Ovis aries: one gene and its partner. The protein of the gene in region 2 interacts with the protein of the main gene of each other region in a biochemical or structural test. Links are inferred from orthologs where the notes say so. Each region holds a gene or a part of one and is shown on either strand. Other genes may lie near its edges.

What was found.
Region 1: the proteins of UBE2J2 (region 2) and MARCHF6 form a complex in vitro, tested with the Homo sapiens proteins (2 studies listed by BioGRID, with this or other methods). The link is inferred for Ovis aries from reciprocal best matches to the Homo sapiens genes UBE2J2 and MARCHF6.

Annotation. Positions count from the first base shown.
Region 1 is NC_056069.1:62,994,607-63,001,158, forward strand, and holds the start of MARCHF6 (E3 ubiquitin-protein ligase MARCHF6), read right to left. Parts: upstream 4,165-6,552; 5' UTR 4,158-4,164; coding exon 4,139-4,157; intron 1-4,138. UniProt on the Homo sapiens protein: Endoplasmic reticulum membrane-associated E3 ubiquitin ligase that plays a critical role in mitigating endoplasmic reticulum stress, the regulation of cholesterol and lipid homeostasis, and ferroptosis.
Region 2 is NC_056065.1:50,560,346-50,566,245, forward strand, and holds part of UBE2J2 (ubiquitin-conjugating enzyme E2 J2), read left to right. Parts: exon of another isoform or gene 1-2,919; intron 2,920-3,139; coding exon 3,140-3,270; intron 3,271-5,719; coding exon 5,720-5,760; intron 5,761-5,900. UniProt on the Homo sapiens protein: Catalyzes the covalent attachment of ubiquitin to other proteins. Seems to function in the selective degradation of misfolded membrane proteins from the endoplasmic reticulum (ERAD).

The DNA of each region.
Region 1 (6,552 bases), on a different chromosome or scaffold from region 2:
GGCTGTTTCCTGGATATTGAAAATCTGCTTTTCAGTGTGACCTACCTTTAAGAATTATCTCAGCTAGATCTTCTAGATATCTGGCTATTTCACTTTGCACTTTGCCGTTAAAGAGAGAACTGCTTTCCTTAAAACTCATGAACCAAGCTCTGCTAGCTTTAAACATTTCCTCTGCAGCTTCCTCCATTCTCTCAGCCTTCAGAGAACTGAAGAGTGAGAGCCTTGCTCTGGGTCGGCTTTGGCTTCAGGGAGTGTGGGCCTGGTCTGATCTCTCCAGACCACTAAGACTCTATTAGCAATACAGCTGCTTCCCTTTCTTATCATCTGTATGTTCACTGCAGCAGCACTCTTTTCTTCAACAACTTTATCTTTGCCCTCACACCTTGGCTAGCTGGAGCAAGAGGCCTAGTTTTCGGCCTATCCTGGATTTCAACGTACTCTCCTCACTGAGCTTAATCATTTCTAACTTGTGATTTAAAGTGAGAGACAGGCAACTATTCTTTCACTTGAACACTTAAAAGAGATCATTACAGGGTTATTAAACGGCCTAATTTCAAGTGTCTTAGGGAATAGCGAGGCCCTGAGGAGAAAAGAAAGAAATGGCAACAGCAGTTGAGTGGGGCAGTCAGAAAACACACATTGATCAGTTAAGTTTGCTCTCTTTGTGGGCACAGTTCATGGTGTCCCAAAACAACTGTAATAGTAGTAAATCACATATCACTGTAACAAATACAGTAATAATGAGAAAGTTTGAAATACGGAAAGGAAAAAAAAAAGGAAATACGGAAAGAATTACTAAGATGTGACACAGAGACATACATGTGAGCAAATGTTTTTAGAAAAACAGCACCTACAGACTTGGTGCAGGGTTGCCACAAACCCTCAATTAAAAAAAAAAATCATTATCTACAGAGCTCAATAAAGTGAAACACAATAGAATCAAGGCATGCCTGTATTATGAGAATGATGATAAACCTGTTGGTTTTGCAAAAATAAGATTTAATATACTGAACACTTTAATACAGAACAAACAAAAATATGAAGCGTCAAAATCTGGCAAATAATCAATTTTGTAATGATTCAAGGTTTTTACTACAAATATGAAACATTCTGAGAATATACCATCATATATGGTACCATTAGGGGAAAGCAACAAGCATTTTTAAAAGAGATGGAAGAGTTAACACTATTTGCTGGTTGGTATTTCAGTAACAATCTATTCATATTAACGTAATAAAAAAAACAGGTGAGTAAACAATGTCTTTGGTGTTATTAACAATGAGTGATAAAATTTAAAGATTTTTAAAAATTTTTATGTTCTTTATGTTTAGCCATATTTTCCAAGTCTCCTACAAAAAGAAAGTTTCTTTTATAATCAGATAAAAATCCAACTGCATTTTTTTAATTTAAGAAATAACCTGTAGTAACTCATTTAGCAAACAGAAGTTGCTTCCAAGCTTTTTGGTATCATCACTGTATCATTTTTTCATGAAATCTGTAATCCTCCCACTCCTTCCAGCCTTTTTTCAAGTTAAGTTTACATTAATTTGAAAATTTCAGAAGACTTCTAATTTGGAATTTTGCAAAATTAGGCATGAGAAGTATTAAAAGTCACTTTCATAACTAACAGTGTCATAAAACAAATGCAAAGTGACACTTTGCCAATCATGTAAATAATTCATCTTATAAACGGAGTGACAAAAATTCAGTTTTCTCAACACTGGATACAAGGTGAAGTGAAAGTTGCTCAGTTGTGTCCAACTCTTTGTGACTCCATGGACTACAGTCCGCCAGGCTCCTCTGTCCATGGAATTCTCCAGGCAAGAATACTGGAGTGGTTAGCAATTTCCTTCTCCAGGGGATCTTGCCCACTCAGGGATCACACCCAGCTCTCCTGCACTGCAGGCAGATTTTTTTACCACCTGAGCCACCAGGAAGACACAGCGTAGCCACTTATAAATATCTAATTTAAACATGAAGTCTGAACGTAATCACGAAGTCCAACAGGACTGAGTTTGAATCTTGCCTCTGACATCGGTCACCTGTTATGACGCTGGCGAAGTTACTTAATCATACTAACCCTCAGTCTCCTCATCTATGAAAAGAGAGTGCTACCTACCGGTAAGTGTTTGTGTGTAAAATGTGAGTTGTGTGTAAAATGTTTAGTGAAGGACATGCCATACATCAATCCTTCAGTAAATGTTAGTTATTTCAATAGAGAATAGTGTTCGAGTTAGTACATAAACATCATTTATACCTCATCCTGATTATAATTTTACAAAGAAAAAAAAAAAACACAGTGCACTAAGAAGCACACTGAAAATATGTCTTCCACAATTCCACACAGACTGAGATTCTGCAATTCCTGAATCACCACTATCATATGGTAAGTGTATGCAGGTACTAAGTGCATAAGCCCAAAGAATGAGAACTTAATAAAAGACGCCGGTATATATCAAGTGATAAATCAATAAACACATGTATTACTAGGTTCAGTCATTAAAATTTGAACCCAAAAGGATGTATGGATGTAGACCGAAATTTACACACTAGGACCACCTGTCCAAAAAAAGTCATTCTTAATTTCAGCAGTTTCACTTGACTGTTTCCAAAGGAGTCTCCTGTGGCAATGACCTTTCAGTCACAGTACATAATAGAAACATCCAAAACACAATGAAAGGAAAATTATTTGTAATTAGAATACCAAATTTTTCTTAATCGGGTGTGAAACCTGGACAAACTTTAACTAAAATAACTACCAATAACTTCCACATCTATAAAAGATAATAATACCTACCTACTCCACAGGGCTCTTAGTAAGATCAAATGTGAAGGCATGTAACTATGCTTTGTAAACTGTCAAGTATAACATGCAAATATCATTACGGCTGAGGTTCTTTTATTATCCAAGGAAAGACTTCTTTAAAAAAATGATACACTGATCCCCTCCACTCATTAAATATATGGACAATATCATATTTTCTACCACTAATTATTGCATACCAGAACAGTCCTCAACGATCTTCATCTAAAATCACCAAGAGTCACAATTTGAAAGGCTGAAAGACGCTTATCACATCCCCACATAAGACCTCAAGCATAAACGTATCTCCACTGATAATCGAAACAAGAAACAAATTAGTAAATTCATCTATACACTTACCCAATATTCGATAGACTCTAGGAAGATAAAATTGCTTAGAAACAACCTAACTACCTCCACTGAATAAAGCAAACGCATGTCAATAGCCACAGATGTTCAGTTGTGTCTTCACCTCTGTATTCTGCTTACGAGTCAGCTGGTGTCAAAGCACACGCACCCACCAGGCACGCGCACACACACACACGCGCACACACACACACGCGCACACACACACACACACTCTGCTTATCGGTGTCAGGGGCTGAGCACAAAATAAACTGCACCCAAACAAAAGGAGTCTCTTCAGAGCCTTCCTGCTTCGAATAACCTCGCTAGGCCTGCTCCTTCCTCGTCTGTAAACAAATTACCGGTGGGGGGCACGCGAGCAAGAGGGCGAGGGCCTCAAATAGGGGTCATTTGGCCGTCACCTGGCGAGGTGTTTTTCGCGAAGTTTCAGAGTCAACAAAGAAGTTTCATGGCGAAGGGGTCGGGCCGCTGGAACGGCCGGGCGAAGCAACGTTAAAAGACGGACAAAACCGAGTGTGGCAGGGTGGGGGGAAGAAGGACGTAGAAAACGCCCCCTCAGACTTCCAGCCGCGACGACGGCGCCGTCGCCCCCCGGGGCTGGCGGGACGGAGTGGGGGCGGTCGGGGAGCCACGCCGGCCACCGCAGCCCGACGCCCCCGGCCCACGACCGGCGCGGGCGCGCGGGGAACGGCTGGAGGCGCCGACGGGTCCCCCGCAGGCTCCCCGCCGCCCCTCGCGCCCCGCTGCTCCGCGGGGCAAACGGCCCGGGTGCCGGCCCCGCCACGGTCCCGCCCGCTCGCGACGCTGTCACCGCGAGCCCCTGACCCGAGCGGAGGCGCCCGCCGCCCACTCCGCCACCTCACGCGCCGCCCGGGCCCCGCCGCCCTCCTCGAGCGCCGCACGGAACCGGCACGGGCCCGACCGGAACGCGGGCGCCGCAAGCACAGGGCGCGGGCGCCGCCGACTTACCTTCCTCCGCGGTGTCCATCTTGTCTGGGGGGGCGGCGGTGACGCAGCCGCTAGGCTCCAGCGGCCGCGACCGGAGCCTTCCGGCCGGGGCGGGGAAGGGGGAGGGAAGGGGAGGAAGGAGGAGGGAGCGGAGCCGGGCCCGGGCAGGTGCGTGTGCTCAGGTGCGAGAGAGGAAGAGAGAGAGGGGGGAGAGGGAGAGGGAGAGAGGCTGACAGAAAGCGGGCGAGAGAGGGGAGGGGGAGGGGCGGGGAGAGCGGAGGGGCGAGGCCTGGGCGGGGCGTGCGGGCGGAAGGGGCGGGGCGCCTCCGCGACGTGTGTTGTCACTTCCGGCAGCGCCGCTGTGCGCATGCTCAGTGGGCGGCGGCCGTGGGGGCGTTGCGGGACGTTCCTTCCCCAGCCCCCAACTCCCTCCACAGGCCGTCGGGTGGCCACTGTCGTGGGCCGCGGGCCACCTGGGCTTTGTCCAGAGGGCTGCGCGGTCGGAGAGGCTGAAACCTTAGAAGGAGCTGAACTCTAATGACACCGAGGTGGGGACGGGGGGGCGGCGACAGAGAAAGCACGGAGCCAAGGGACGAGGGCAGCGGGAGCGAGCCCTGCACCCGCCGCAGCACCGCGGTGCACCACACAGGCGGGCCCCGGGGCTGAAGAGCTACCTGGGCGCCTGTGAAAAGACTAGTCCTGCGCCCGGCTCCACTCCCCTCTTCCTGCCCGAGACTCCGGTGTCGCGTGTCTGGAGTCGGTCCAGGAATAGGCACTTTTGTTCCGCACCTGTGGGCAGTTCTGATGCACGTTTTGAAGAAGTGCTAAAATCATTAGTATGAGAAAGGCAAGTCCTAACTTTAGCGAGATCCCTCCCCCAGGAGACTTCTTCATTTGACTGAAAGGACCGCTTCAATAAACTACTTAGGCTGGAGGCTGTAACATCCGCCTCTAAGGGAAATTGGTTCAAACTGTGAAGTGAGAATTTGTTATTAAGGGGGCTTCCATGGTGGGTCAGATGGTAAAGCGTCTGCCTGCAATTCGGGAGACATGGGTTTGATCCCTGAGTCGGGAATATCCCCAGCAGAAGGAAATGGCAACCCACTCCAATACTCTTGCCTGGAAAATTACATGGACAGAGGAGTCTGGTGGGCTACAGTCTATGGGGTCTCAAAGAGTCGGACACGACTGAGCGACTTCACTCACTTTGTTATTAAGTGTCACAGCCATCAGCGATTTATGGCCTCTAAATATGAATCCCAAACTGCAATCCACTGGATGTTGCTACCCCAACCCCGCCCTCGATTGCTCAGGAGCTGGGGGAAATGCAAGGTGAACAAGGAAACGGAGTTGACACCCCGCCCCCCATAGCTGAGGTGCGTGTGAAAGGAATGAGCTCAGTGCGACCAGAGGGTTGCATCTTCCCATACCTGGAATGCTAAATTCCTTAACCTGATAACCTAATCTTTGATCAGACAGCTGCTCCCTTGGTTGCAAACTTGTATATAGCCTGACTTTCCCACCTGCCTCCTTGGAGCAGTTTTCTCAAAGCTACTGAGATGCCTTCTCCCTGGCTCCGAGTCCTAAGCATTCCCACCAGGTAACTATTTTAAGGTTGTGATTACATCGTTTTAGTCGACAAGTTGTGCACAGGGCTTGATATATTGAGCTGTGGATGTTTACCTGGCCAGAGGTGAATTGCTTCTGCCTGATGAAAGACAGCCCTGCCTGGATCAGCACACAGCTTTCCTCACTGTAATTCCTGCTTTTTACTCTAAAGGAAGAACTGTCACACAACATTGTAAATAAACCATACTCCAATTTAAAAGGAAAAAAAAAAATCTATTTAGAAAATACAAGTTATGTCACCATCTTTGAATTGCCTGAGTAGAACTAGAGATATTGGTAATCCCAAGAAAATATATTTTAAAGACTATGTAAATGAATTGCAAAGATAAATTAAGAATGCTAGCAAGACTTTTTCTGTCTGTGAGAGAGAAGGAATTGGGAAGATCCCTGCTTCCTGCAAGCCTCATCAATCAGGAGACTTAGATTAAAGATAATGGAGACCTTCCAGAAAAACAGAAGCCTTTGAAGACCAATGCCATTGATTTTTCCAGTCACTCCTGTTGCCCAAGGTGGGAAAGAATTCAAATTCTTGATGCAATAATGGAGGCCCACTTTTCCTTAAATTTATTTGGACTGTATTGTCTCCCAAGAAATTGTATCTGAAGGAGGCTCATACCTCAGTCCCCACCCCTCCCACCCAACATGTGGAGCAGACACATCTCCTCTGTGGCCTGTGGCAGGGCACGTCTCACTCAGCTCGGACCAGGGGCGCAGCTCACCGCCACCAGTTCAGACCCAGTCTCAGGGGTCATAAAGCAAAAGAGGGGATGATTCTGATAGGTAGACTTAAAGATTTACTGAGGGAC
Region 2 (5,900 bases):
CCTGGTCAGGTGTACGCTTCTCGCCCCCTTCCCAGTTAACACCACTTATCTGGACTATGTTTAGTTCACATCCATTCTCAAACTCACGCCGGGCCCAGCCTGAAAATGCTTAGAAAGGTCCCCGGGCAGCCCCCAGGGAGTTAATGAGGGCTTGAGAGTTCTCTGGGCAGTGGTCAGGGCTCTGTTATCTCTAGGTGAGGGGCCCTCGGTGTAACTTTAGGGTCTTGCTTACTTGAAAAGCCCAGCCTCTCTGCAAGTACTGTTGGATGCCAGTGCCTAGAGCTAGCACTCTGTCATCTGCACACCTTAGCCGAGCCGACCTCTGTGCAGGTGCGGGAGTGGCACGTGCGGTGGCCCCCCGTCAGCTGCGGGCCTCCATCCAGCCTGTGAAGCAATCCCACTGGTGAAGGGAGAGACTTCCGTGGGAGTCCTGGGCACGGGGGTGTCACGTGCGCTCTGGTGGGTCAGACCAAGGTCTCTGGGCGGAGAGAAAGGAGCCGAGCAGGCAGTGCTGGATGAGGGGCGAGTCTGTGTCCACGTAGTACTGAAGGGACTCTTGCCGGGATGTTGGTTCAGGCTACTGGCCTTCAGACTGTCTGCCCTGAAATTTTGTATGTGGACTGTGCTTCTTGTTTTGTTTTTGAATGTCTCCTGTGACACTTGTCCTCTGTCTGTGGGGACTTGGCCTGATGGGACCTTGAGATGCACTTCGGGGTCTGTGGAGGCACCCGATATGCACCCTGTGTGCTTGGGGAAGACGGAGAAACTGACTCACCTGTCATCCTGAGGGCACTGCTGATTATGACTTCGAAAGCAAAAGGGAGAGGAAAGTTCATTTGTGAGGAGCCAGGCAGAATCTATTTTGTTTTGTGTGGCTGTCCTCTAACTTTCGTGAAGCGTTGAAGTTGGCCACTTAATTGAGTTCAAGCACAAGTGTGTTTGAATTATCCGGTGAATTGGTACGTGTGTGGCAGAATGTCAGACTTAAGGTGCACAGTTAAAGGAAACAAGTCCTGGGTGATGGTCTTGCTTTTGACTTGTCATGGTGTTTGTTACTAGATGTTGTCCATGGCAAACCACCTTGGCCCCCTTGCCGTCTCTGGCTGGAGCTTAGGGGTGGTGCCAGGGGAGCACTCCCCTCTCAGGCTAGACCCTAACCACCCGCAGTGGGCACCCCAGCCAGCAGTGTCTGCTGGGGCCTGGTGGCACCTGTGCGATATGCAGCTGGGTGGCAGGAAGGCCAGCAAAGGGCAGAATGTGGAGGCACTTGACCAGGGGAGTCAGGCACTGGGCTGGGCAGGGGTGTGGCCACGTGGTTGGGGCTCTGAGGAGGGGTTGGCTCAGGCTGTGGGAGTGTCGGGGCCTGTGGGAGTCCGAATCAGGGGATAGAGGGCGGCCTGGGGCTGAGGACTTGGCAGGTGGCAGAGGGGTTGGCATATATTTGTTCAGTTCTGGGTGAGTCCTGAAGGGTGTGATCTGAACTGTGCAATGAGAAGGGTCAGTTGACTTCAGAGAACAGGATGGACTGAAATGGGGGGAGACTGGAAGCCAGAGGCTGGTCGGACGTCTCATGATAGTTGATGGGCAGTGTAGTGGGCCCTGCATCGGGGGTGTGTGGTGGGATGGAGAGAGTGGGAGCATATGGGTATCTAAGGTTTAGAGACCCCAGAGCAGGAAGCAAGGCTGGGTATGTGGAGGGACTACTGCTGCACCCTGGGGGTGCAGAGTGAGACAGCAAGCCCTGGTCATCATCTGGCTGGGTGGGTGCTCTGAGGCGGATCCCATGGGCACAGGGCAGGAGTCCATAGCCTCTAATGAGGCACCGTGGGCAGAGACTGATGGGAGGAAAGGTGCAAGTGAGGTGAGGAGGGTCCGGCCTGGTGCAGGGAGCAGTGCCAAGTGGGTACTGGCTGGGAGGTCTGCGTGGAGGTTTGGCTGCTAATATCCTGTGCTGTGGTGGGACAGGTTGGGAACACAGGTTGGGCAGAGTGATTCCTCACTTGCTGCCCTGTCTAGTCAGCCTCCCCCCTCTTCTTTCCATCCTGTGCTGCATACGCTGTGTGTCCTCCATCTCCACCGTGTTTTACACCAGTGGCTTTCTTGCTTTATTTTTAGCAGCAAAACTTTTTTGCTTATGCACCTAATTTCCATCTATGAGATGCTCTAGTTTGTTAAGTAGATGGAGCTGGAGCTGTTCTGGTGCCCCTGAGAGTGGGGAGCCCGTCTTCCACTTCCCCATCCCGCCCTCCTACCTCTGGAGCAGAGCTGAGGTGTCCCAGGTCCCCTGATCCAGGCCAGGTCTCTTCTCTTGAATGATGGCTGCTCCCTGCCTCCCATCCTAGCCTTCAGTACTGTCCTGTGCCGTCCTGTCCCTCTTGTGCCATCTTGTCTGTCCTAGTCTGTCCCAGTCATCCTCTGCTGGGCCTCCAGAGTGCCCTTTCTAATGGAAGATCTGATTTGACTTAATACTTGGGCTTAAAAACTTTGTGGGGTGCCGCCTGACGGCCTGGCCTCGAGTCCCTGGTCGGCCTTGTCAGCTGCCATTCACAGTGCTTCGGCTCCTGCTGTGGCCCAGTGTTGTGCCCTGGACACAGCACACTTCCTTACCTTTGCCTGTCCAGCTGCTCCTGCTTCCTCTTCTGTCCTGGATGTGTGTCTGGGTCTCTCCGGGGTCCCCTCTCTCTCTCCAGTCCCAGAAAGAGGCTCTTCCTCTATTCCCTTGTTCTCCCACCCACCTGTGGCCAGTGGTAAACGTGCTGGAAAATGTTTAACAAGGAGTTCTGGGAGGGGCATGGCACCCAGTGCAGTGCTGGGGGAGACATGCACATGGCTGGTGGTTGGGGCTGGCTTTAGCTCGCCTCCACTCAAGACCGGCGAATTCAAGGGCTCTCTCCCTCTGAAGCTTCTTCAAGGACACAGGTGAGTCTGCAGGGTCTCTCTTAACCTTTGTATCTGACGAAAGTCACATTGGCGAAGGACCTGCTGGGACAGGCGGGAAAGGAGACTCTGCAAGGCTCATGAGTGTCTGAGAGGGTGGGCAAGTTGGAGCGGCCCAGGGGCCTTGATTCCGGGTGGCAGAGGTGTGGGCAATGGGGGTTGCCTTGCTCTGTCCCGTGTCAGTGTAGACTTGTCTCCACAGATGAGCAGCAACAGCGGTAAGAGAGCACCGACGACAGCGACCCAGCGCCTGAAGCAGGACTATCTCCGGATTAAGAAAGACCCCGTGCCTTACATCTGTGCCGAGCCCCTCCCTTCCAACATCCTTGAGTGGTAAGGCTCTGCCGCCTCCTTCCCTGCACCACCTGCCACCTGGCTTCTCCCTGATGGGCTTAGGGCCAGAGGGGCCTCTTAGCGTGGGAAGGGGGTTCCTGTACGCTTGTCAGGCATGAGTGGACCGTGAAGCCTGCAGATCCTCTCTGGTTGTCTTCACAATGGATAGCAACCCAGGATGTGGCAGGCTGTCTTTGAGCTCTGCACGCGGGCCAGAGAGAGGATCCTTCCTAGGGGTGACTTTGGGGCCTGCAGCCTCACGCCTGTTGGAGAAGCTCCTTGTCTTGACTCTCCTTCTCTGCTCTTTGCTTCTTGATGCTGTGAGGTAGCCTGTCCTACGTTGGCAAGTTTGTGATGGGGGATGATGGGTCCTGAACCCCGCTCTGTGCCTGTGGACGTGTGTTTCATGGGAACTTGCCACGCCACAGAAGGGCTGCCCTTATCAGGTGTGCTGGTGACTTTGTGAGAAACAGTGTAGGGCTGAAACATTAAGGAGCATTTTCTCTGTTTGGAGGGTATTTAATATTTTATGTTTTGATCTTAAATACCATAAAAAAAGTTTTAGATCTAGAAGAAAGAGATCTGAGTTAAAAGTCTTTTCCAGATTGGACAGGTGTTCAAGGATTTTGGATCCACATTCCTTGGCTTGCAGAGAAGGGTGAGCGCTGGCAGGTGGGCAGAAGGTCTCAGGGAGTCCAGCCTTGGTGTATAGGGGAGACATCAGTGTCACAACTCGCCCTGCCCTCAGGATGTAGCTAGCAAATGGACAGACGGGCTCTGTGGCAGTCTAGGGGACATCCTGGTCGTGCCGGGGCCCCTCCTGAGTGGGGGTCAGGTCCCAGGTCTACTGTTAACCAGGAAGGCCCACTGCAGAGGAAGAGGCGCAAGGCAGCGTCCATCGGAGGCCAGGCACAGGCTCCCCTCCTCGCCACGAGCTGCGACAAGCTGTATGCTGGCGGGTTGTCCTTAGGGAAGCTCCTTTGGGGCTGAGCACCAGAGACTTCGAGGGGAGTGGGTCACAGGAACCTCTGCCTGGAGCCCCCCCAGTATTCCAGACTCCCAGAAGGACAGCAGGCTTCCTTTCAGCACTGACCACATTTTTGCCCAAACAGTCGAGGTGCCGTTAAGGTTATGAGACCCCCTGGCATCCAGTTCCAGACACCGGCTGAGGACGGCCATGTTGGGCCTGCTGTGTGGGCTCTTCCCAGCCAGGGTGTCTGTCCCCGCCACTGGAGAAGAGAGTAGTCTTCTGGAGAGGTCTGTACTCTAGGCCTTCCTCACTCTGCTGCCCTGGGGCTGTCACGCACTCTCAGAGCACTGCTTGCCCGGCCCTTCCTGATGTCCTCAGATTGGACACACAGATTGGGAGCAGTGACAGATTAAGGCCACGTTCCCCAATTTAAGGCCACCTTTCCCAGTTTGTTCCTGGTCTGCTGACATAGGATGATGGTATCTTTTGGCTCTGACCTGTCAGCCAGTAGAGAGCAGGGGTTGTCAGTGTCCTGGTGGGAAGTAGTGTTTGGAGAGGTGATACTCATGTGTGCACAGTTGTGTCTGGTCTTGTGTTTCTGGTTAGTTCTGTATTCTTCTTCGTGCTTTTCTGTTTTCTTTGAAAATTTATAAGTTCAGGGCTTCTTTGGTGGTCCAGTGGTTAGGACTCAGCTCTCACTGCCAAGGGCCTTGATTCCATCCCTGGTCAGGGAACTAAGATCCCGTCAACCACACAGAGCAGCCAAAAACAAAAAAAAATCGAGCAGTTCCAATGTTTCTTGCCATAGAGATGAAGTGTTGTTTATTTGTGTGGAGAGCAGAGTCCATGGGGCTGTGGCCCTCCGTGTGAGGCCTTTGGTGACCACCACGAACTGTCCCTGTCCCTCCTGCTGGAAGACAGCTGCTCTCGAGGTCACATCTGAGTCTTCCAGGGTTGCAGGGCCAGGGCACAGTCTCTGCGGGTCTCCAGCTATTCCTGGTGAGCTACTGCATGATATTTGGGCACACTGAAAAGCATCAGATTTCAAGTACATCTCAACTATAAATTGTGAATTTTTGTTTTTTTGTTTGTTTTTTCCCTCCACACTGCATGACATGTGGGATCTTAGTTCCCTAACTAGGGATTGAAACCTGGACCCCCTACATTGGAAGTGCCGAGTCTTAACCTTTGGACCTCCAGGGAAGTCCTGTGAAGTGAATTTTTAAATTGTCAGTTGATGTTAATGGTCAAAGAGGGTTAGCTTTTTGCGTACTATGTTGTGGATTCAGAGGCACTTTGCAGAAAACTTGGAGGGCACGGCCTCTCTGATCCTGTTGGAGAGGCAGGGAGCTGTGTAGCTGGTCAAGTTTAGTCACCTGCTGAATGTCTATGAGTGTATTAGTTTCGGGTGGGCCCTAAAAACCCCAGCCTTGGAGTGATGCCATCCCCAAAGCCAACTCATTTTCTCTCCTCCCTCAGGCACTATGTGGTCCGAGGCCCTGAGATGACTCCCTATGAAGGTAAGTCTTTGCTCTGAGTTAGATGAACAAGAGGCAGCGTCTGTGTTCCAAAGAGACCTTACCCGAGAAACTCCGTCCGCTTGTCAGTAATGCTCTTTCTGGTTTGGACGTGCGGGAGGTAGACTGCGCACATTTGGAGC